4 linked regions of the Caenorhabditis elegans genome follow. The protein of the gene in region 4 interacts with the protein of the main gene of each other region in a pairwise test. Each region holds a gene or a part of one and is shown on either strand. Other genes may lie near its edges. The genes, in order: math-14, rrsr-1, lir-2 and gei-4.

Region 1 (3,827 bases), on a different chromosome or scaffold from region 4:
TTGAAGTAAAGGATGATCTAAGATTGTTGTCTCAAAATGGACAGAGCTTGAATCTCACTAGCACATCAATTTTCGAAGAGCCTTCTGGTTACGGCTATGGTAAACTCATAAGATGGGATGATATGCTAGAGAAGTATATGGTGAACGACAGTATCATTATTGAAGCTCGTGTTAAGATAACCAAAACGATTGGATGTGAAGATGAAACAAGTATTGATGATTTGGATGATGAATTCTCTGACTGTGTGATCAATGTTGGAGGGAAAAACTATTCTGTAAAAAGACAATAGACTGCATTTTTCATTCTAATTCATTTTTATCACTGTGATATGAAACTTCTCTATTTTCAACCTAAAATGAACGTTAGTTTTGCACTCTCTACATAAATCAATTAAACCTTACCTATCTTGAGCAATGGTTGAATGTAAAGAAATTGAAAAAAAAAGAGAAAAAGCAGAACCTAAATTTGGTCACACATTTCTTGTTTTCCCATTTGGAACCAAAAATATGTATTCATAATGTTTAATATATTTATCTCAAACATGTCACAGTTAATAAAAAGGCTCATACAGTTGACGGAATTCCTGGGATTGCCTTTCTAACTGCAGCTCCGACTTCTTCAACTATTCCTGGAATTCTAGCTGGTTCATCGCCCACGACTTTCCGAATTGCCGGAATTGCTTTTCTTACTCCTGCTCCTACTTCTTCAAACATTCCTGAATCATCCGTCTCTCCTGGAATTGTTCCTCCAAACCCTCCAATAACTCCCGGAATTGGTGGGAAATCGATATCTGAAAAAAAACATTTGGAGAAAGGCCTAAAATGGGAAAACTTACAGCAGCTGGAGCACATGCGATGAGGACAAGAATGTAGATGATGAAGTTCATGTTGAATGAATTGTGAATTTATCCCTGTTACAGGAGCCTGTTTTTATATGGAGCACTGACAATAGAGCTGTGTCTAATAAAGACATGTTATTCAGGATTTTCAGACAATCCCATTGTATTATCTGTTTTTGAAAGCTGAGTCGGTGAAAATTTTTATAAATTTCAGTGCTGAAATTTTCCGTTTTTATAAATATTGTGAAAATCAACTGTAATGTTAACCATGGAATATTGACTCGTTCTTCCATGTCGGTGGGGTAGTCCTCTCTATCCACAAATCTTAGGATATTTTTAACAGTTTCATAGTTTGGTCAATTTTTTCAAAAGAAAGTTGATATCAAGATATTATAGAAAAAATTGTTGAAATAAGCCATTCAAACTGTAATGAATAGACATTTTAAACGTAGCAACACTATTAGGAAACGACTATAAGTATACTCTTATCAGTGATTTTTTATAAAGGTTTTGAAGGTATGAGGAATTTTTTGTAATTTTTGAGTTCAGGAATCGGCGTCAGCCGGTTTTCTTGGAGTGAAAAATCTTAATGGAACAAGTAATTCTGAAAATTTCCTAACAGATTCCTCATTTTTTCTCCATCAAACTGGCATATTTGCACAATCTAAGAAAGAGTTTTAAATTATAAAACAACTACATTTATAGCGCCATACTGATTTTCTGAAAGTGTTTTTTCATTTGTTTGAAAATTATTTGTTCCAAAAATTATATGTTTTAGTTCTGAACTTTCATGCAACTAAACAAAATTTCTCATTGTATTTTGCAAAATTGACATTTTTACATTAAACTGTCAATTGCACCATATTAGGAATTTTTTTTTCATTGATAAGAACTCATTTTTAAATCGTCCCCTTGCATATGTTTCTTCAGACCTATCGAATTGCTCCGTCTCCTTTTTTTTTTGCTCTCTTTGAGTATTGATTTTTATAATTAAATTTGTTTTGTTATTTTCACATGTGTGTATTTTTTTTCATATTACAGAGAACGTACGTTCATACGTTTACTGTAATATGAAAAAGTTTTCAGAACAATGTCTAAATTGTGCAAAGAGTTCAGCTTAAGCGCGACTGTCAAAAATATTTCACGATTTGTGGATGAAGAGATATACTACACTGACACAGAAGAACGATTCAATATTCCATGGTTTTGTTTGATAAACGTTTTAAGAAATAATGGTGAACGTGCTTTAGGAGAATGTGCATCGCTAAGTGTGACGATGAATTTAGTCTTGGATTGAAATGTGAAAAAAACAATTGGGACAACAGAGAATGGTCGATTGAAACTGATTGGACGATGAAATTAGTATCACACAACGGGAAAAGTTTGATGGAAAGCAAAAAGTTCACTTTCAATAATTCAAATATATTCGATGGTGGTCTGAACACTAGTTGGGATTTATTGGAAAGTGATTATGTAGTTGATGATAGTGTTGTAGTTGAAGCTCATGTCAAAATAATTAAAATAACTGGTGAGTTCGACTTTCATTTTTTACGAAAAAACTTGGTTACTTGCTCTGAAGCTTGAAAAAATGTTTTCAAAATTTTAGACTGGTGAGTGTCTATGACCTTTGGAATACAAGTATTTTTTAGTAGCACTATAAGTATTTATCATATATTAAGAAAGACGCAGACATATTTTTAGACTGTAAATGATTATTATATTTCTGTCTATAACACTTTTTACAGACTTACCATGCGACGAAGACGAGGATTCAAAAACGTTTCTTTTAAGCAGTACTGTTAGAAATATTTCAAGCATTGAAGAAGGAGACGACTATTACACTGAAACAACGATACGTCACAATATTCCATGGTTTTTTATTGAATAATATGTACATTAGTTCAAACTATATTCAATTTAAGGAGAATGCAAATTAAAAGAGATGATGGATTTTTTGGATTATTTTTGAGATGTGAAAAAGAGGATTGTGAGGATCCTGGAAAATCTTGGAGTATCGAATTAGATTATGAACTAAGATTGGTGTCTTTGAATGGACAGAGCTTGACTTTTAGTGATTCAGACTTGTTTATTTATCCATCGGGTGAAGGTTTTCAAAAATTCATGAGATGGGATGACATGGAAGAGAAGTATATGGTGAATGGTAGTATCATTATTGAAGCTCGTGGAAAAATCACTAGTCTTGAAGAAAGTGACGACGAATCCAGCAGTGAGAATGAAGAAGACGATTCGAGCGAATCCCATTCAGAAAATGATTCGAGTAGTGATAATTTAGAAGATGAATTCTCTGAGTGTGTGATCAATGTCGGAGGGCAAAATTACACTGTGAAGAAACAATAAATTATCAATTTTCATTAAATTGCTTCCGTCGACTATTACTGTCTGTGCTCTTTTCTAAGTATCAATTTTCCAATATCATTATTCGATGGAAATAAAGATTTTTATAAGAGTTGAAAAAGGGAAATTAGCGTTGAAATCAATATGAACCTACGTATAGCACTAAATAATGAGCACTTTTCACATGACATGAACAATCTAACTATAAGGAAGAACTTCTACCGATAAAGAACTATACGCTCGATTTTCAATTTCCTCTCAGAGGCTTTCTATGACTGATTGTGAGGAGGTTTCCTGTTATAATTAAAGCGGTTTTGAACAATTTTCTAGTACTTGAGCTTCACCCATCATTCACTTTTCATTCGACTTGGCTCCAAGAAATTTTTTTTTTCCATGAAAAGTTATATTGCTACTTTCAATTTCAACTTCCTTATTGGTACACTTGTTCACTGATAAGATGCATGTTCTGTGAGTCTTCTTTGGTGTCAATTTTTCTGCCCTGCACATTCAGCTTATACTCTGCTCTCTGTCAATACTATCATGACTGTGGTTCTGGATTCTATTAAAAAATTTCAGAACAATCTTAGATGTTGAATCCTTGTATTAAATATTGCATTGTAAACATAATTCCTC
Region 2 (3,309 bases), on a different chromosome or scaffold from region 4:
TAATATAAAAATCGTAGAAAGAACATTTTTTGGTCGAATTCCAAAACTATGATGAGCTTTCACCACTTTTCAACTCAAAAAGTTAAATTTTTTTGAATAGTTGTACGCTTCTTTTTATCTTTTTAGAACAAATTTCAAAACAATTTCCCAACGATACCCCACCTTGAAGATCATTCACACAGTAAGAAATATGCCAACAATTACCATTTTCCCACGTGTTCTCTCTCTCTCGAGATCTCTCCTGACTTCAAAGCCATACCAATTTCCGGTAATTCAGTGTCCATATTCCTATGTCATCTGTCATTTCAATCTCGGCTCATCAACATCATAATACAATGACCTTGTAGTTGAGGATCTCCGTTCGGCTTCCGAAACAAAAGGCAGATGTATGGTAAGTAGTTGGGTGTTACATACTCTCTCCAAAGTGTTGTTATTGATGTTACACCCTTTCTTCTCAGTAATTCATCAAAACTCTTTTCCTCGCTAATTTGTTTGATGATTTATGAGGGAAGCGGGGTGTGCAAGTTTCGCGCATTTCGGCTTTCAACACAGAAAAATCACTAATTCGTTGATTTATTTTTATGTGAACTTTTGTCGTAACAAGTATCAGGCGGCATCGTTTTTGTGTTGAAAGTTACCGTAAGATTCAAGGGTTTCATTTCGATGTATCCTAAATCTGGGACAATAGAATTTTATGGACCACCCGGTTAGGAGTAAACAATACCCAATAAAATTTAATAATTGAGCTGCCTTCTGCGGTGGAATGTATGCTCCATGATGACATTTGTATCTTTGAGAAATATGTTAGGGATCCAAATCATCAAAATTACTAACTATGTATATGGTGTATTGTTTCTATATTTCTCATTGGAAATTTGAGCTGGAACAGAGAATTTTCTTCATTTTTATTTATAAAGGGCGCTGGATAATTACCGAAAAAGGGAAATTTTTGAGCCTCAAGCATTTTAACCTATGAAAGATAGTTTCATAAGAGTTTTCAGATTAATCGAGGTTCTTGAAATCATTTAATCAGGAAAATACCCACATTACTCACAGAGATCCGCTTTCAGACGTTATGTTCTCTCTGATGGTCTGATTCTACTAATTTTAAATGTAATTTATTTTTTAATTAAAAGCTTGTAGTGGTTTGTTTTACTTTACATAATGTGCTCACATTTTCTTCGTATTTTGTGAGAGATGACGAAAACTACAATAAAAGAAAAATGCGTGCGGTGGCGTTGCAAAAACCACGCGCACCACTTGCAATAGAAGCCACGCCCTTATTTCCTTTGTTTTATTTTTCGTTTTCAGCTCTTTCAGTTCTCTTTTCAAATGATTTACCTGTTAAAATTAGTCAGAAAAATTAGATTTCGGTTAAAGTTTTGATTTTCTTTATAACAGTTATACGAAAATTGGTGCCGATTGCTGTTTAAGCTTCAGTTCTGAAAAGCTGTTTCTATAATACATTCGCACTGTCTTTCCCGTTCAGTTGCAGCGTTTTTCTACTTTCAGTAGTTTCAGTTAATACTTTAATGTTACAGAGAAATGGCTGACAAATCGACGGAGGTTGAAAAGGCCATTGACCCAATCATTGACTTGGGTAACCTGCTGTTTATTGATCGAGAGCCAATCCAAGGAGACGCAAGGTATATTATAGAATTTCGTTATTAATTAAACCAGCAAATTTCATAATTTTTCAGTGAAGGACTCGAGGAACGTGCTAGGAAGAACACACAACTCCTTTTCAACAACATCTGGCAGCTGGAGCAAAAAAGAGTAGAAGAGGCTATTATTGTTACTCTCCCTCCCGCCACTTACCGTCTTCCTCGTGAGAAACGATTGCCAGAGAAAAAAGAGCCGACGAAATGGGAGAAATATGCTGCTGAAAAGGGAATTGAGAAGAGAAAGAAGGATAAGAAGGTGTTCGATGAAGCGACAAAGGAATGGAAACCGACCTATGGATACAGACGTGGAAATGATGATACCAAGGATTGGCTGATCGAAATTCCTGACAACGCAGAAGATCCGAACAAGGATTTCTTTGCTGAGAGACGCGAAAAGAAGAAGGAGAGAGTTGCAAAGAACGATATGCAGAGAATGAAGAATCTTGCTCGTCAGATGAAGACAACAGTCAAGAGCGGTCCATCGACAGAAAAGATGATCGGAGTAGGAGTCGATGCCAAGGAAAAATCAAAGCAACAAGTTCGTTTCGCAGTGGATCGTGCAAAGCTTGCCACAGCTTCCGCTGGAAAGTTCCAGGAAGGATTGAAGGGAGAGAAGGCCAACGTGAAAACTGGCAAGAAGAGAAAGTTCGAAGCCAACGAAGCTCCAGTTTCTGGCGAGAAAGAACGTGCTCTCCAGATTCTTCAACGAATGAAGTCAAAGAAAGCAAAGATTGTTGAAGAAAAGGCTGCTGCAGTTGCTGGACCTTTGAGAGAGTGAGTAGTGAGAAAATTAGGCCTTTATCGTTATTCAATTCAATTAATTTCAGGAAGAAGGAAAAATCGGAGAGGAAAGGTGCTAAAGATCAAACAAGACAGAAGAGTCAGATTCACAGACAACAGTGGTTCAAAAACAAGGTCGACGGCAAGAAGAAGGGTACTGGTGGTGCTGGAAAGAAGGGAGCCAACAAGGCCAAAGCAAGAAAGGGATAATCTATGTTCTTGTTTTTTATTCAAATTTGTTGATTTTGATTCGTTTATTTTTTTTGTTACTTTCTTTTTTATTCATCAAATTTTAACATTCAATAAATAAATGTTCTGTTAAGTAGAAAATGTTACTTTTCTTCATGAAATGATGTTTTAGTTCTCGATTGTGAATTTACCTGGGATAGGTTATTTTATTAAATTTGTTCAGAGTTTTATATAATCCCAATTATTTTTCTCTGGCATGTTTTTTTTTTCTCTGAATGTAAGAAAGCCAACATTGATTCGCGATTTTCAAATCTATGAAATTAATAGGCGGAGTTTTCTTTGCCAGATCCAGCAACTCGGCCATCTTTCAAACCAAGATAAGTGATTTTAGATCATTTAACAATTTGCCTGTCAAGACTTAATATTTTCTCAACTAGTAAAGTGCTGTTCCCATTTACTCAGCAATCTGTTTCTTCGAAAGTCACAAATCGGTAGTGTCTCAATTTCCAAGCGTGCTCCATCGCACTCCCTTTAAATTTTGTCATCTTTTCGGCGTTCTCATCATTTTTCAACCTTCAACAATATATTTTAGTCGAAACTTCATTAATTCAGCTTAAAATGGCTTTGAACTTCCTCTCATACGACGATGACTTTTGTGGATATTGCGGCGCCATCT
Region 3 (6,887 bases), on a different chromosome or scaffold from region 4:
CCAGCGAAAAACACGAAAGTGTTCAACTTTGAAATAACCGATTCAAACGGAGATACAATCAGATGTACCGCATTCAACGAGGTTGCTGAGTCCTTGTACACCACAATCACCGAGAATCTTGTTAGTATTATTTTAATCGGATTATGCATAATAATTAATTTAATATTTTCAGTCTTATTATTTGTCTGGTGGATCAGTCAAACAAGCAAATAAGAAGTTCAACAATACTGGACACGACTACGAGATCACACTTCGCAGCGATTCTATCGTTAGTAAATTTAAAGCGATTCATCATAGCTAAAATATTAAATTTTCAGATTGAAGCTGGAGGTGAATTGCTTGCTGCTCCAAAGCTCATACTCAAACGAGTGAAGCTAGGTGAAATCGCTGGATATGCTGGACAACTGATTGACGTTCTCGTCGTGGTTGAAAAGATGGATCCAGAGGCTACCGAATTCACTTCAAAGGCTGGAAAATCTCTGATCAAGCGAGAAATGGAGTTGATTGACGAGTCTGGAGCACTTGTTCGATTGACACTTTGGGGAGACGAAGCAACAAAAGCACTTGTTGATGACTATGTTCAAAAAGTAATCGCATTCAAAGGTGTTATTCCAAGAGAGTTTAATGGAGGATTCTCTTTGGGAACTGGGTCAGCAACTCGTATTATTTCGGTGCCAGAAATCGCTGGAGTGTCTGAACTCTATGATTGGTACGCAAACGTGAAACCAACCACTGAAGTTAAGATGATGAGCCAAGCTGCTGGAGGATCCAATGAAGCTCCACGTACTATTGCAGGACTCCAAGAAATGCAATTTGGAAAGGATTCCGACAAGGGAGATTACGCAACTGTCAAAGCAATGATTACCAGAGTAAATCCTACGAATGCTCTTTATAGAGGATGCGCTTCAGAGGGTTGCCAAAAGAAACTTGTGGGAGAAAATGGTGACTACAGATGCGAAAAGTGCAATAAGAACATGAACAAGTTCAAGTGGCTGTACATGATGCAGTTTGAACTTTCGGACGAAACCGGACAGGTCTATGTCACAGCTTTCGGAGATAGTGCTGCGAAGATTGTTGGAAAATCAGCTGCGGAGCTTGGAGAATTGCACGATGAAAGCCCAGATGAGTACAACGCTATTTTCGAACGCCTTCAGTTTGTTCCAAAGATGTGGAGACTTCGTTGCAAGATGGATTCGTACAATGTAGCTTTATTTCTTGAAGATCCGTTATGATTGTTTTCTTTATAGGAAGAAGTTCGTCAGAAGATGACTGTCTATGGTGTGGATGATGTCAATCAGGACAAGTACATCGAAAATCTGAAGCAAATGATCGAGCAGATGCAACAAATGAGTGACTACTAAATGTTCTGTTTTTTATTACATCGTGCCGATCTCGACTGTTTCATTTAAATCTAAAAAAACCTAAATATTATTAAAACCTTTTTTGAGCCTAAAGTTATCACATGTCTCACATCCACAATCGCTGATTTTGTACAATGTTTTTCATCTCATTTACTAGCGAATAAACTATACGATGTGAGCCTATCTTTGAGTGCCAGGTGACCTCGAGATGTGTTCTGAAGTGACAGCATTGGGTCGTTGCAGCGTCCTTGAGAGCGGGTGACTGCCCGACAACAAATGGCCTTGGGTTGCCACATTTATCCTACGTCTCTCTGCCCACGACCACATTTTCCATTGCTAACCCGCAGGTTCGTGGGCAGCCAGCGAGCTCTTTGAGCTCTCTTCGTCTATTTCTCTCTAACGCTGTCTTTTTTTTTGTCTTATTTTCCATGAAAGACATTGGCGGATTAGTGGAAAAGACTAGTGACTTTCATTTACAGAAACGTCTTTTATCACCTGTTTTGATTTTCCAAAAAAATAAATTCCGTAATGATTTTATTATGTTTCCAAACAGTTGCAATTTGAACACTCCTTTCAAATTGTTCGTCCAAACTAAGCCGTGCTGAAAGAAAATTTCCGTCTTATATTTTGAGTGTAGCTTTTCTGTTGCAGTTGTTAAGATTTGTCGATGCAATTTAGGGTTATGCAGCTGACCTTATGGAGTGTCTGGGAGAGCACACACAAATGCGTTCCCAACAGAAGGTGTTCTCCGTGTCTATTCCCAATAAAGGTCATCTCCATATGCTCATCCCGTTTCTTTTCACCTAATACGTTTATTCGCAACCTTTTCTAGTTATCTTCAAAAAAAAAAGGTTCACGAATTGTTTTCCTCAATTTAGAGTTTAGTGGTGTCACAGTATCCCATCTCGGTTTTTTATTTGAAAATTGTGGGAATTTAATTCGAATTTGCTACCCAGGAAAAATGTCTGGAAATTCCCGGATTAAGCTGGAATGGGACACTCTGACACCACCCGTCTCCCATTTTATTTTCAATTTCTAAAAGTAAAATAGCATTTTCAGATCAGTGACAGTCATGTTGGCAGCTAATGGCCCCCGAACTGCGAAAATCAGCCGAGATGTAAGTTTGGTTTGAATTAGCGCCAAGTGCAATATTCCAATGGAGCACAGTTGTTGATGGTCACTGTACCTTTGAAACGGCGTTTTGCGGTTTTCGAAACTCCCCGATGATTGGCGTTGACTATCTTAAACAAAATGAAACAAGATTAATAAATTTATGTGTCTTTTGTATTCTTTAAACGTTTTTCGTCTTTAAAAATTAAGGAGTTGTCAGGTTTTTGAACGCAGCTCCGCCTATTTTTTCAAAATCACATTCTCGAGTTTCGAAAAACATGTGAGATCTCTTTTTTTGACTTTTCAATTTTATTTTGGGTCAGATTTTTTTGATTTTCACTTCTCATGCGCCATTTTTCGACCTTTTCATTAATATTTTTTCAGGTTAGCAACTACATTATCACCTTGGTTCTTGAAAGAAGTGATGATCTCATCAAAAATTCATATCGCCGGTTGACAACTGAAAATGTCGCCAGGAATGAGCATTGGGCTCGAATCGCTGATAAAGTAACTGAAAAATTCGATATTCCAGCTGAAATGGAACGAGTCAAGTCGCATTTTCACAATCGAAAAAAGGTTCTATTGGCGAGAATAAAAGACGAGTTGAAGTATGAAAATTTTTCATTTTTTAAAGGTTTCTGTAATGATCATCTTTTCTTCAGAACTATTCCAAGCTCTAATCAAATGTCCACTGATGAAAAGATGGAAGAACTCGTACGTCGGAGAATTTGTATCGGAGAGTATGATGAACAACTTGCCAGAGTTTGCCTTGACATAGAAGATGAAGAAAAAGGAAGAACGGAACAATTTGGGAATGAACAAATTCAGCAACCGATGACAAATTTGTTCACTGAAACAAGTCATCAATCTCTTTTGTAAGTTTATTTATTCATTTTTGCTCGTTGAAATTAAAATTGTTTTTCAGAAGTCAGTTGCTAACTTCATCGGCGTCACAATCAAAAAGTGAAATACCGATTTCGATGTCATCGCCTATGGAATCAGCTTCAAGCAAAGATTCTGAGCCACAAGCTGTTATCTCTTTACCAACTTTAGGTGCAACTCGCGCCCCTCTTCTCAGTAAACTTTTATCTGATCCTTCAACATCGAAAGAAAATGGATTTTTGTTGCGAAAAGAGCCTGTGAGATTGGCGAGAGCACCATCAGCAATTCGGAATCCGAATGTTAGCAATTATGATAGGAAACGTCGTGCAGCAAGTCCATATGAAAAGAGCAATCGTTTATCGGTGCTACCCAGTCCTCAAAACCAATATCTCTCACATTTGATCGTTGATGTTTCATCTCCTCAAGAACTTAAAAGACTATTATCGGTTTTGGTAAGTACTTTTTATAAAAATTATTATTTTTGGTTCCAATTTTGGAATTGGATCGAAATAAGATTGTCATGCTCTTCATTTCTCTAAAAGTTATTTCTAAATGTTTTCTGTTTTTTCATTCATTTTCGTCTTCATTCAGTGACATCTTCTTTGAAGAATAAAAATTTAGTTGGTAGCACCCTTCAATTCACGCTCACAATCGCCGAAACATTGCGTGAAATTAGAGTTTCCGACTGTGAGCGCAGGCAGAGAAATAGTGAGCGAAGAGACATTGGAGAAGTAACAGGGTGAAGAGCGGTGCGCGAGCGTGTGCGCGTTGCGTGTGTGTGTTGAGTGTAGCTTTTTGTGAGCTTTTCGCTTGAAATTATTTGATTCTAACTATTATAAGCTAAATCAGGTAGCAAATGAAGGCAGAATAAGTTTCATGTTAGTTCAAAACGAAATTTTAAAAAAATTTATAATTTTCAGATTGATCATGGATTCTCTCGATTTCAGCACATCGGAAGTTCGGATATGGTGGCATCGTCTATCAGAACTGGTCAGTGTAAAAAACTTCCCAAATTGTCTTTAAAAAGCGAATTCGTCACAATCAAAAAAGTTTCCGTTTTTTTTTGTTGATTCTCAGTATTTTTCAGATAAAACTGAAAATAAAACATCGCAAAATCGAGAAAAATGAAAGAAATGTCCGAAAAAAAGTCGAGAAAACTATTGTTTTATCCAAAATATGTTGATTTCGATGAGAAAAATAAGAAACTTCTTTTAAAAAATAAAAAAAATCGGAAATTATGAACAATTCTTTATTTTTTAAAAGAAAAATTTAGGTTTTTTTAACAACGAAAATTGAAAAATCGATAAATCAATATATTCTTTTTCGGATTTTTTTCGAATTTCGGAAAATCGATTAAAAAACGAAACAAAAACGAGAAAATTAGATTCACTAAAAAAAGAAGAAATTTCGTTTAAAAAATTTAAAAAATGACCGAAAAACGGAAATTGAGAGATGAAACTAACAATTTTCCTATTTCTCATCAGAAAATTATCACATTAATTTAATTGCAGCTGTTATTTAAATTAAATAAAACATTTTAACCGTTTTTTCAGGTATACCTCGAGCGCCTAGACTCGATACGGTAGAATATTCCAACTATGAACATGAACCTGAAACAGATGAGATTTCTCGAGATGGAACACCATTTTGGTCAACACCAATTCCACCAACTAACAAAGAATTGCCGGTTTCCCCTGTATCACAATTGGACATGACGAATTCAATCAAGAGCAGGTAGAATTAATAAATTAGAATTTTCATTTCATAATTTTTTTTCAATTTCAGAGTGGAACGTGTTGATGTAGAAGTTAAACTGGAACCTTGCAATGACGAAGATGATGAATTTAGTGAAGAAGTTGATGAACAAACTGCTGAATTGGAAGAACAACTAGCAACTGAAGCTATACGGACTGGTTTGGCACTTTTTGGAAAAGTTTCCCCATCTCCAAAACGAATGAAATCATGTGGAAGTTCTGGAAGTGTTTGTGGAGATGTAGTCACAGCGATTTGTGAGATTTGTGGAATTGGAATTCGCCTGAATTCTGGTGGTTCTAAATGGAATTTCTTTGAACACGTAATGATGAAACACTCCACTCATAAACCATTCAAATGTTCCCAATGTCCATATCAAGCTGTACGAAAAGTTCGTGTAAAGCAGCACGGACAATCACAACACAATTCGGAACACGAACCTGTGAATATGATGTGAGTTTTTATTTTGAATTTAAAAAATTTTAAAAAAATTATTTTTTAAAGATTTTAAAAATTGTGCGACAGCTCTTTTTTAGTTGAATCACTAATTCACTGAGATTATTTTTTTTTATCTAATCTCACTCGAAAAGCATGAAAGCCGGTTTCTGTTTTAATTGTATAATTATTTTAAAATGTACGCAATTTGTTTTATAAATTACGAAAATTGCTACTAATGTTGCAGCTGCACCGCAAGATTTTTTTTTTCCATTCTATTTAAAATGGTAATTTTATCCAAATGTGAGGATAAGCCAAAAATTTATTTTTGGCATAAACCCGCAAAAATAGATTTGAAATTTTGAATAAAATGTAAATTTTAGAAATTTTTTTTTCTAGATCATATTTTAGACTAAAAATGTTTCAAAAGAGCATATTTAATTTTTTTTTTAAATTCAATTCTGTCGCAAGATCGCTCCATTAAAAAAAATTAAAAATGTTTGAATAAAATCCAATTCAGACGATGTCCATTTGAAAACTGAATTTAATTCGTTTCATTCCAAAATAAAAAAATCTTACAAAGTCAATTTTTTTCAGAACACCAGAAGTACGAAAAGAATGGCTGGATACAATGGCAAAGTGTTTCCCGAATCATCAATATGGAAAAGAAGCAAAAATTTAATAGTTTCTTTAAATTTTTTTCGTTGATATTTATAATATTTTCTTTTAATTTTAAGTTTTACAACGCAAATTTTGTTCTTACTCGATTTTCAATAAAATCGTCGGTCTTTTTATTATTTGTGGTAATTTCTTTTTTCTTATTTAAATAGTTATTTCTATTTCTGAATATCTTTATCGTGCTCTTGTAATTCCTAATAATATAAATAATATACATAGGTGTCGTCTTCGTACGATTCGAACCCGGCCGGGATGCCGAAATTTGTGGTCATCGAACTGAACGATGATGCAGCAACGATCGATCTTCTCAGTTATTGCGTGAGTTTTTTTATTTATAAAAATTATCTAAAATATTGATTTACTCATTTTCTCTGGTTTGAAACTTTGCATAGAACTTCCAATTGTACCTCTGATTCCTTTTTCGGTCCATATTAACCATTGGTATCCCCTAATTATTCGAATCGACTTCCTAAACAAGGGTGCCGCTGAAAAAATTGTCGGTTTTTTTTGTTGAGAAAATCCAAAAAAATTCACTTTTGAAAAAAAAACGAAAAATTCCGTTTTTTTTTTAAAGAAAAAATCGAAAAAAAATTTGAAAACACTTTTCTTATACGGAATTCAAAATTTAAGTTGATTAAAGTTTTTTTTCAAACAAGTAACCGAGATTTT
Region 4 (6,510 bases):
AAGAGGCCTGATATCATAGCCTCTGAATACGGTAGAAGCCAAGTTCTGCTCCTCTTCCTCTCCTTATACTATCTCCTGTGCTTCTTCTCCTTCTTCTTTCCTCACTGAGAGTGCCTGAGAGTTATTGTCGGCCGTCATTCGCCTCTCTTGTTTTCGAGTCTGCCGCACCCTCCGATCCATCTCTCCCCATCTTTCTCTCCGCATCACGTTACCCATTCATTCGGCACTCCTCCACGCACTCTCCACAATCGATACGCTGTCGTCACGGCCTCTAAGCACACACACTCCACGACGGGCGCGCTCTCTCGTGCCGGGTGTCTCGTGATCTCCGCCACTCGGCACAGTGTCTAGTGATGTTTGGACTCTCCGCAGCGCGCATTGTGTATGCGAGTGTGCAACGCGTCTCCGCGTCGCGGTCGGCCTCCCCTCGTACACAATGCCCCGCCCGTCTCCAATCTCTCCTCCCTCTCGTCCTATGCGCCCCAAATCGTCCTCTTCTTTTGTGTATATGTTTCGTTTTCTCTTAGTCTTCTTCCTCTTCTACTACTACTACTTTTTGCCCCCCGTCTTGTTCCCTTCATCTCCCTACACTTCTTCTTCTTCTTACCATCCCCAACCGCATCCATCCGCCATCACACACTCTTTTCCGCTGATTTTGGGAGCGCAGAGACAGAAGGCAGGCAGGCAACAAAATAGTGTGGTTAACAGTGATGATGGGAAGAGCATGGGCGGTTTAGGCGCGAAGAGGACAAATTTGAATTCTAAAAATCGACTTGAAACGGAGAGGTACAGGTTGGATTTGATGCCTTGGCCGTGAAATGGGAAAATTCGGAGGGATTTTCAGAGAACCCACAGCGATAGGAATTGGAAGACGGTATTAGAACCATTACATTAGGCTTTAGGCTCAGGTACTTGGATACGGGGCCCTCGTGGTGTCAGGCTGTCCTACTATGGTTTGATCTACAAAAAAATGCGGAAATTTTTGGCCCATAAAAATGTGACGTCAGCAAGTTCTTAACCATGCAAAATCAGTTGAGAACTCTGCGCCTCAACTCCGGCATTTTTTGTAGATCTACGCAGATCAAACCGAAATGAGACACTCTGAGACTTTTTCGTGGGGACCGCGGATATAAAAGGTCGGCCACCAAAATTCATTGCTCTTCTAGAATGCTAACTCTGCCTCTGGAACCCAAAATACCTCTGGATTTGCTGAAACTAGCTTAAAAGTGGATCAGCAGGACCTTTTCCGCAGGATTTAGAGGGACTGACCGAGTTTTCTCTTTCACGGCCACCATGTTCAAGCAGTGCACCTGGGCACCTGTGCACACAGCTCCAACACGAAAAGAAACTAAGATTTTTGCATTTTCAGTAAAATTCAGAAAATTCCACGTGGATCAGTGAAAATTTGGCGCAATTCCGTCGAAATTAGTACATGCTGGGACTATAATAAGAATTTTTTAAGCTTTTGCAGTGAGATACGTTGTTTTCAATTTTATTTTTCAATTTTTCAATCAAAATTCATGTATTCTTCTTTTGTTCCAGTCATTTTAAGCAGTGTTTTCATTATTCTAGTCTTATGAAATTCGAAAAATTGAGAAGGAGGCAAGTGCGCTCCAGTGACACTCCGGCAAATTTGAATTCGAAACTTATCTGCTTCTCTATTTTTCTCACTTTCTCCATTTAATTTCTTATTTTTCTTTGGTTTTCCTGGTTTTCCTTGGTTTTTCTTCAAAAAATTAATTTTTCAAGTGATTAAAATTGTTTCCAGCACAATTATATCCTTATTAAATCGCAATTCTCATCGGAAACTAGCTTAAAAACCTAAAATTCCAATTTTTTCAGGCTCGGAAACACAAAAAATAATAAAAAATGCAGCAGAATATACAATACACATACAGTTCGGATCCCCGCTCGGGCGGTAATCAAAATCAGCAGCTACACGGAATATCGCAATTTCAACAGAACTCCTATCAGCCGACGACGTATTCAAATTCAAATGCGAACAATTTTCATTCCTCTAATTCCGCAACTTTTATACCTAATTCAGTGACGGTAGGGGATTTTCAGGAAATCGAGTGAAAATGTTCAATTTTATTTAATTTCAGCAAACACCTCAGCGGCGGATGGGAGAAGAGAAGAGTTTAGTTAATATGCTTGACGCTTATTTTATCGACAGTACGACACCTTCAACATCAACGTCGTGGAATAATCAGCAGCCAGTTCAGGTAAAAATCGTAAAAATCGTGCGATTTGGCTTAAAAAAATGGCGGAAATCTCGAAAAATCTCGATTTTCCTCATTTTTTACCGTAAATTCTATCGTAATTGTGGTTGTGTTTGTGAATCGTGATTTATTTTATAGATGTCTTCAATACAACAATCAGTTGGATCATACAATCAACAAATACCTCAGTTGAAAGTAGGAGATGTGGTAAATTCGTTGTTTTTTCTTTGTTTTTTTTTGGGGAGAATTTCGTGTTATTCAGTGATTTTTTCAAGGAATTTTGAATTTTGCAGCTCGAAATCCGCGTGGATTTTCGCATTTGAGCGGATTTTTCAAAAAATTTGCTCAAAAAGTCGATAAGTTACTGGAACTTGCTTAGTTTTGCAACTATGGTCTGCTAAATAATTAGCAGACCAAAGGTGGGTATGCTAAATATTTAGCAGGCCCAAGTTGGGTATGCTAAATATTTAGCAGACCCAAGATGCGAAATCGAGCAGAATTTGTCCATTTCTCGAGTTTTAATGCGAATTTTAAGTTTCAACACACTGAAAACACGAATTGAATGAAATCACGCAGCGAACTCACCGAGCACACCTCAGAAACATTTCAGGACCTACAAGTAGAAGGAATGAATGTTAAACTCTCCTCGTCACCCGACAAAGGCGAGAAGGATCGAGTAAAGAAGGCGCGACAGGCAGAAGCCGCCCGAATGCGTTATCACCGACTATCAAACGAAGAGAAACGAGAGTTAAACCTGAAAAGAACGTTGGCGCAGAAGCGAAAACGGCAACGTGAGAAGGAGATGGAGGAGCTCGAATCGATTTTGCGGGAGACAAATGACATTCAAGAGGATCCGGACATCACCGAACAGCTCAGAGAGAAGAGAATGCGGGCCAAGTGGGCAGAGGCCGCCCGTACACGTTACGCTAGAATGACGCCGGAAGAGCGCCGGGCGCACAATACGCGGAGACGTATGCGGCAGATGCAGAACGCGATGAGCGCGATTAAGGTGAATATAGAACATTGAATTCTAGCAGAAAATCTGGAAAATTAGCGGAGAAGAGGAAAATTTAATTGGGTGAAAATCTATTTTTGGTAAAATCTCTCCTCCCTAACACACAAAATTTGTAATTTTTCCGCTGCTACCGTGACGTAACATTCCAGAAATCGGAGTTTCAGGCATGTGGAATGGCTACAGGAGATCCACAGAAGGACGACGAGGCTGTCCGGTTGCACATCAAGACGCAGAATGCGAAAAAAGCGGAGGCGGCTCGTCAACGGTAAGGAAGAGATTCGGGGGAATCAGAATAGCTTGGGTCTGCTAAATATTTACCATACCAAACTTGGGTCTGCTAAATATTCAGAATGGGTCTGCTAAATATTTAGCATACCCAACTTTGGTCTGCTAAATATTTATTTGGGTCTGCTAAATATTTAGCATACCCATCTTTGGTCTGCTAAATATTTAGCAGACCCAACAATTGCGAAATTCACCTGAGTTTCCACACATTTTCGATCAAAAAACCTCCAAATTTCCAGATACCATCGAATGAACGATGACGAGAAGCGCGTCTACAATCAACGAAGGACAGAAGCGTTCCGCCGCCGTCGTATGGAAGAAGAGATGCTGCTCGCCATGCCTATAGGCCGTATCAACGGAGAAGCACTGGATCGTGCTCAGCAGATTGTGGTCCGAAACGCGAAACGAGCCGAAGCGGCACGTCTTCGCTACCAGCGAATGACGCCTGATCAGAGAAAGGTGAATATATTTTTGCTACAACTAATCAATCACCAACGAGAGACAGAGAGGGTCTTGCGATGACTTTTAGTTATTTTTGAGCACGAAAAATTTGAAAATTTGCGCTAGCGAATCCAAAAAAAAACCCCGGGTTTCTTCCCCAACTCTCCGAGATCTCAGACTCCTAAATTTTGTTGTAGGTCGCGAAACAAGAACCGAAAGAAGAGTCTTGGCCCTCTCATGAGCAATCTGACACGCAAATCGACCATGATCTCGATCTCGGAGACGTTAGTGAAACCTTTTTTCTTTTATTTTTCTTCTTCTTTTTTTTGAATTTTGGATACTGAAATTGAGAATGAGAATGCTTGTTGTGTGTAGGCTTTGCGCATGTGTGTTTTCGAAAAACAAAATTTCAAAAAAAAAAAAAACATTTTAATTTTTAATTTTTCAGTCGTACAATCAAAAACGCTACACTCCAAAGCGTCGTCGCAACGAGATGGACGACATGATCAGCGCCGGACAGATGGCCGTCGGATCCTCTGGAACCATCACAATGGGCACCGGCACCCCCGCCAAAAAGGACGATATGGACGCTCTCTCCTCGTTGGAACGTGACGTCGTCAAGCGCACACAGCACGCTCAGCAGATCCTTCTCCGACAACGCGCGAATCAGTCGTCGGGAACGCCACGCTCGGTTACACCACCGCCACAGGCCTATATAATCTCGAATGGTCAGCAACAGCACCAACAGTTGGTTGGAAATCAGGGAAACAATGGGATTGGACAGCACCAGGTGCTCCATCAAGGACACATGCAACAGCAGCAGATTCAGGTGTCACACCAGGTGAATATCGATGAAAACTAGGAAAAAATGAGTTTTTGAGCGGAATTTTGCTATAAAACTCGAGGTTGGGTATGCTAACTATTTAGCAGACCCAAAGTTGGTATGCTAAATATTTAGCAGGCCCGAAGTTGGTATGCTAAATATTTAGCAGACCCAAAGTGGGTATGCTAAATATTTAGCAGACCCAAAGTGGGTATGCTAAATATTTAGCAGACCCAAAGTGGGTATGCTAAATATTTAGCAGACCCAAAGTTGGTCTGCTAAATATTTAGCAGACCCAAAGTTGGTATGCTAAATATTTAGCAGACCCAAATTTCAAAAAAAAAATTGATTTTTACTCAAATCTCCCCAATTCTAGAATCATCCAACTAATCAAACTTTAGGATTTTCAGCAGTCGTCCCAATCGATTCCTCAGAACATCTACACTTCTGGCATGATTATCCAAAATCAGGGACAACAGCAACAAGGCCAGCAGCAGCAGCAGGGACAGTCTCAACAAATATTGAACAATCCTTATAGAACCTAATAATATAATAATTCCTGTTCTTTTTTTTTCAAATCTTCTCTTTCTGTTCTTTTTTCTTCTTCTTTGTCCATTGTTTTTCTTTCCTCTGAAAATTGCATCTGTATTATTTACTGAAAATCGCGTAGTTTTTTATCTTTTTTTAATCAAAAAATTCAACAAAAAAAACCACTAAAAATTGAAAAAAGTTTGCAAAAAAAGCCCCAAAAAATAAGTTTTCTTCCTCTTAATTGTTAATTTTTTAACGTTTTATTCAACTTTCCATTTCTAATTTTCACTGTGACCCAATTTTTTGTTTCATTTTTCTGAAACCCCCATTACCAATAATTTCCAGATATTCTCATTCTCAAGAACCTCCTCTCAAATATCCGAACAAACCCTGCGCTACCGTGAAATCTGCCTTAAACCCACCCCCATCTAGAACTACCTGAAAATCCATGTTATTTTTACATTATCCTTTTTTTCCCCCATTTCTTGTTTTAAAGAAAATATTCACCCTGCGTCTCGAAATTCTTATACTCTATCCCCATCCCTCTCCCACACAAAATCCTCTCCAAATTTCCAAATATTTGGTAATCTGAAAATTTTCGTCGAATTTGAATATTGACGATTAATTAGAATAAAAATTGAAGTTTATTCCTGAGTTTCCGATTTGAAAATTCCTTTTTTTAGCGTGTTTTTTTCAGCGTTTATCTACTTTCTTTTACAAAAATTGTAATAGAAAAAAATCGATATTTGCCACGTGGCAAGCCAAATTGGGTCTGCTAAATATTTAGCAGACCCAAGAAAAATTATTTAGCAGACCAAAGTTGGGTCTGCTAAATATTTGGCAACCAATTTTCTCCAGAAATCCAATTAAAAAGCTCAATAAACCATGAAAAGAGCATTCAGTTGTAAATATTTAATACGAAATTCTATTTCTTGCGGAAAATAATAATTTTCTTGCTGTTCGCACTGGGAAGAGAGGAAATCCCTCAATTTTCCATCCCGATAATTGCACCTTACACTCGGGGTCTCTCGAGAGTTTATAATTAGCTTTTATTTTCAGAAAATACGTATTTTGTTTATCAAATACCCCGAAAATATGAAAATTCTCATGACAACTGGGGAAAATCCATAAAAAAGTGGCAGTGGGCAAGCGCGCTCCATTGATAACGTGCATTTTCCGATATTTTTCCAAGC

The links.
Region 1: the proteins of gei-4 (region 4) and math-14 interact in a two-hybrid assay, tested with the Caenorhabditis elegans proteins (one large-scale study listed by BioGRID).
Region 2: the proteins of gei-4 (region 4) and rrsr-1 interact in a two-hybrid assay, tested with the Caenorhabditis elegans proteins (one large-scale study listed by BioGRID).
Region 3: the proteins of gei-4 (region 4) and lir-2 interact in a two-hybrid assay, tested with the Caenorhabditis elegans proteins (one large-scale study listed by BioGRID).

What each region holds. Positions count from the first base shown.
Region 1 is NC_003280.10:1,867,494-1,871,320, forward strand, and holds math-14 (MATH domain-containing protein), read left to right. Parts: upstream 1-1,926; 5' UTR 1,927-1,929; coding exon 1,930-2,042; intron 2,043-2,089; coding exon 2,090-2,367; intron 2,368-2,584; coding exon 2,585-2,711; intron 2,712-2,761; coding exon 2,762-3,197; 3' UTR 3,198-3,312; downstream 3,313-3,827. Other genes in the region: math-15 (MATH domain-containing protein), read left to right, coding at 1-290.
Region 2 is NC_003283.11:14,423,241-14,426,549, reverse strand, and holds rrsr-1 (Ribosome biogenesis regulatory protein homolog), read left to right. Parts: upstream 1-1,541; 5' UTR 1,542-1,545; coding exon 1,546-1,646; intron 1,647-1,700; coding exon 1,701-2,438; intron 2,439-2,491; coding exon 2,492-2,654; 3' UTR 2,655-2,766; downstream 2,767-3,309. Other genes in the region: rpoa-12 (DNA-directed RNA polymerase subunit), read left to right, coding at 3,252-3,309.
Region 3 is NC_003280.10:7,665,573-7,672,459, forward strand, and holds lir-2 (C2H2-type domain-containing protein), read left to right. Parts: upstream 1-1,694; 5' UTR 1,695-2,433; coding exon 2,434-2,478; intron 2,479-2,831; exon of another isoform or gene 2,832-2,855; coding exon 2,856-3,079; intron 3,080-3,133; coding exon 3,134-3,346; intron 3,347-3,396; coding exon 3,397-3,805; intron 3,806-4,273; coding exon 4,274-4,343; intron 4,344-4,906; coding exon 4,907-5,087; intron 5,088-5,138; coding exon 5,139-5,558; intron 5,559-6,137; coding exon 6,138-6,222; 3' UTR 6,223-6,337; downstream 6,338-6,887. Other genes in the region: rpa-1 (putative replication factor A 73 kDa subunit), read left to right, coding at 1-120, 173-268, 318-1,202, 1,248-1,361; lir-1 (LIn-26 Related), read left to right, coding at 6,471-6,536.
Region 4 is NC_003281.10:343,760-350,269, reverse strand, and holds gei-4 (BZIP domain-containing protein), read left to right. Parts: upstream 1-1,842; 5' UTR 1,843-1,869; coding exon 1,870-2,052; intron 2,053-2,105; coding exon 2,106-2,225; intron 2,226-2,360; coding exon 2,361-2,429; coding exon of another isoform or gene 2,430-2,582; intron 2,583-2,832; coding exon 2,833-3,231; intron 3,232-3,386; coding exon of another isoform or gene 3,387-3,401; coding exon 3,402-3,502; intron 3,503-3,761; coding exon 3,762-3,981; intron 3,982-4,160; coding exon 4,161-4,247; intron 4,248-4,411; coding exon 4,412-4,804; intron 4,805-5,187; coding exon of another isoform or gene 5,188-5,196; coding exon 5,197-5,331; 3' UTR 5,332-5,964; downstream 5,965-6,510.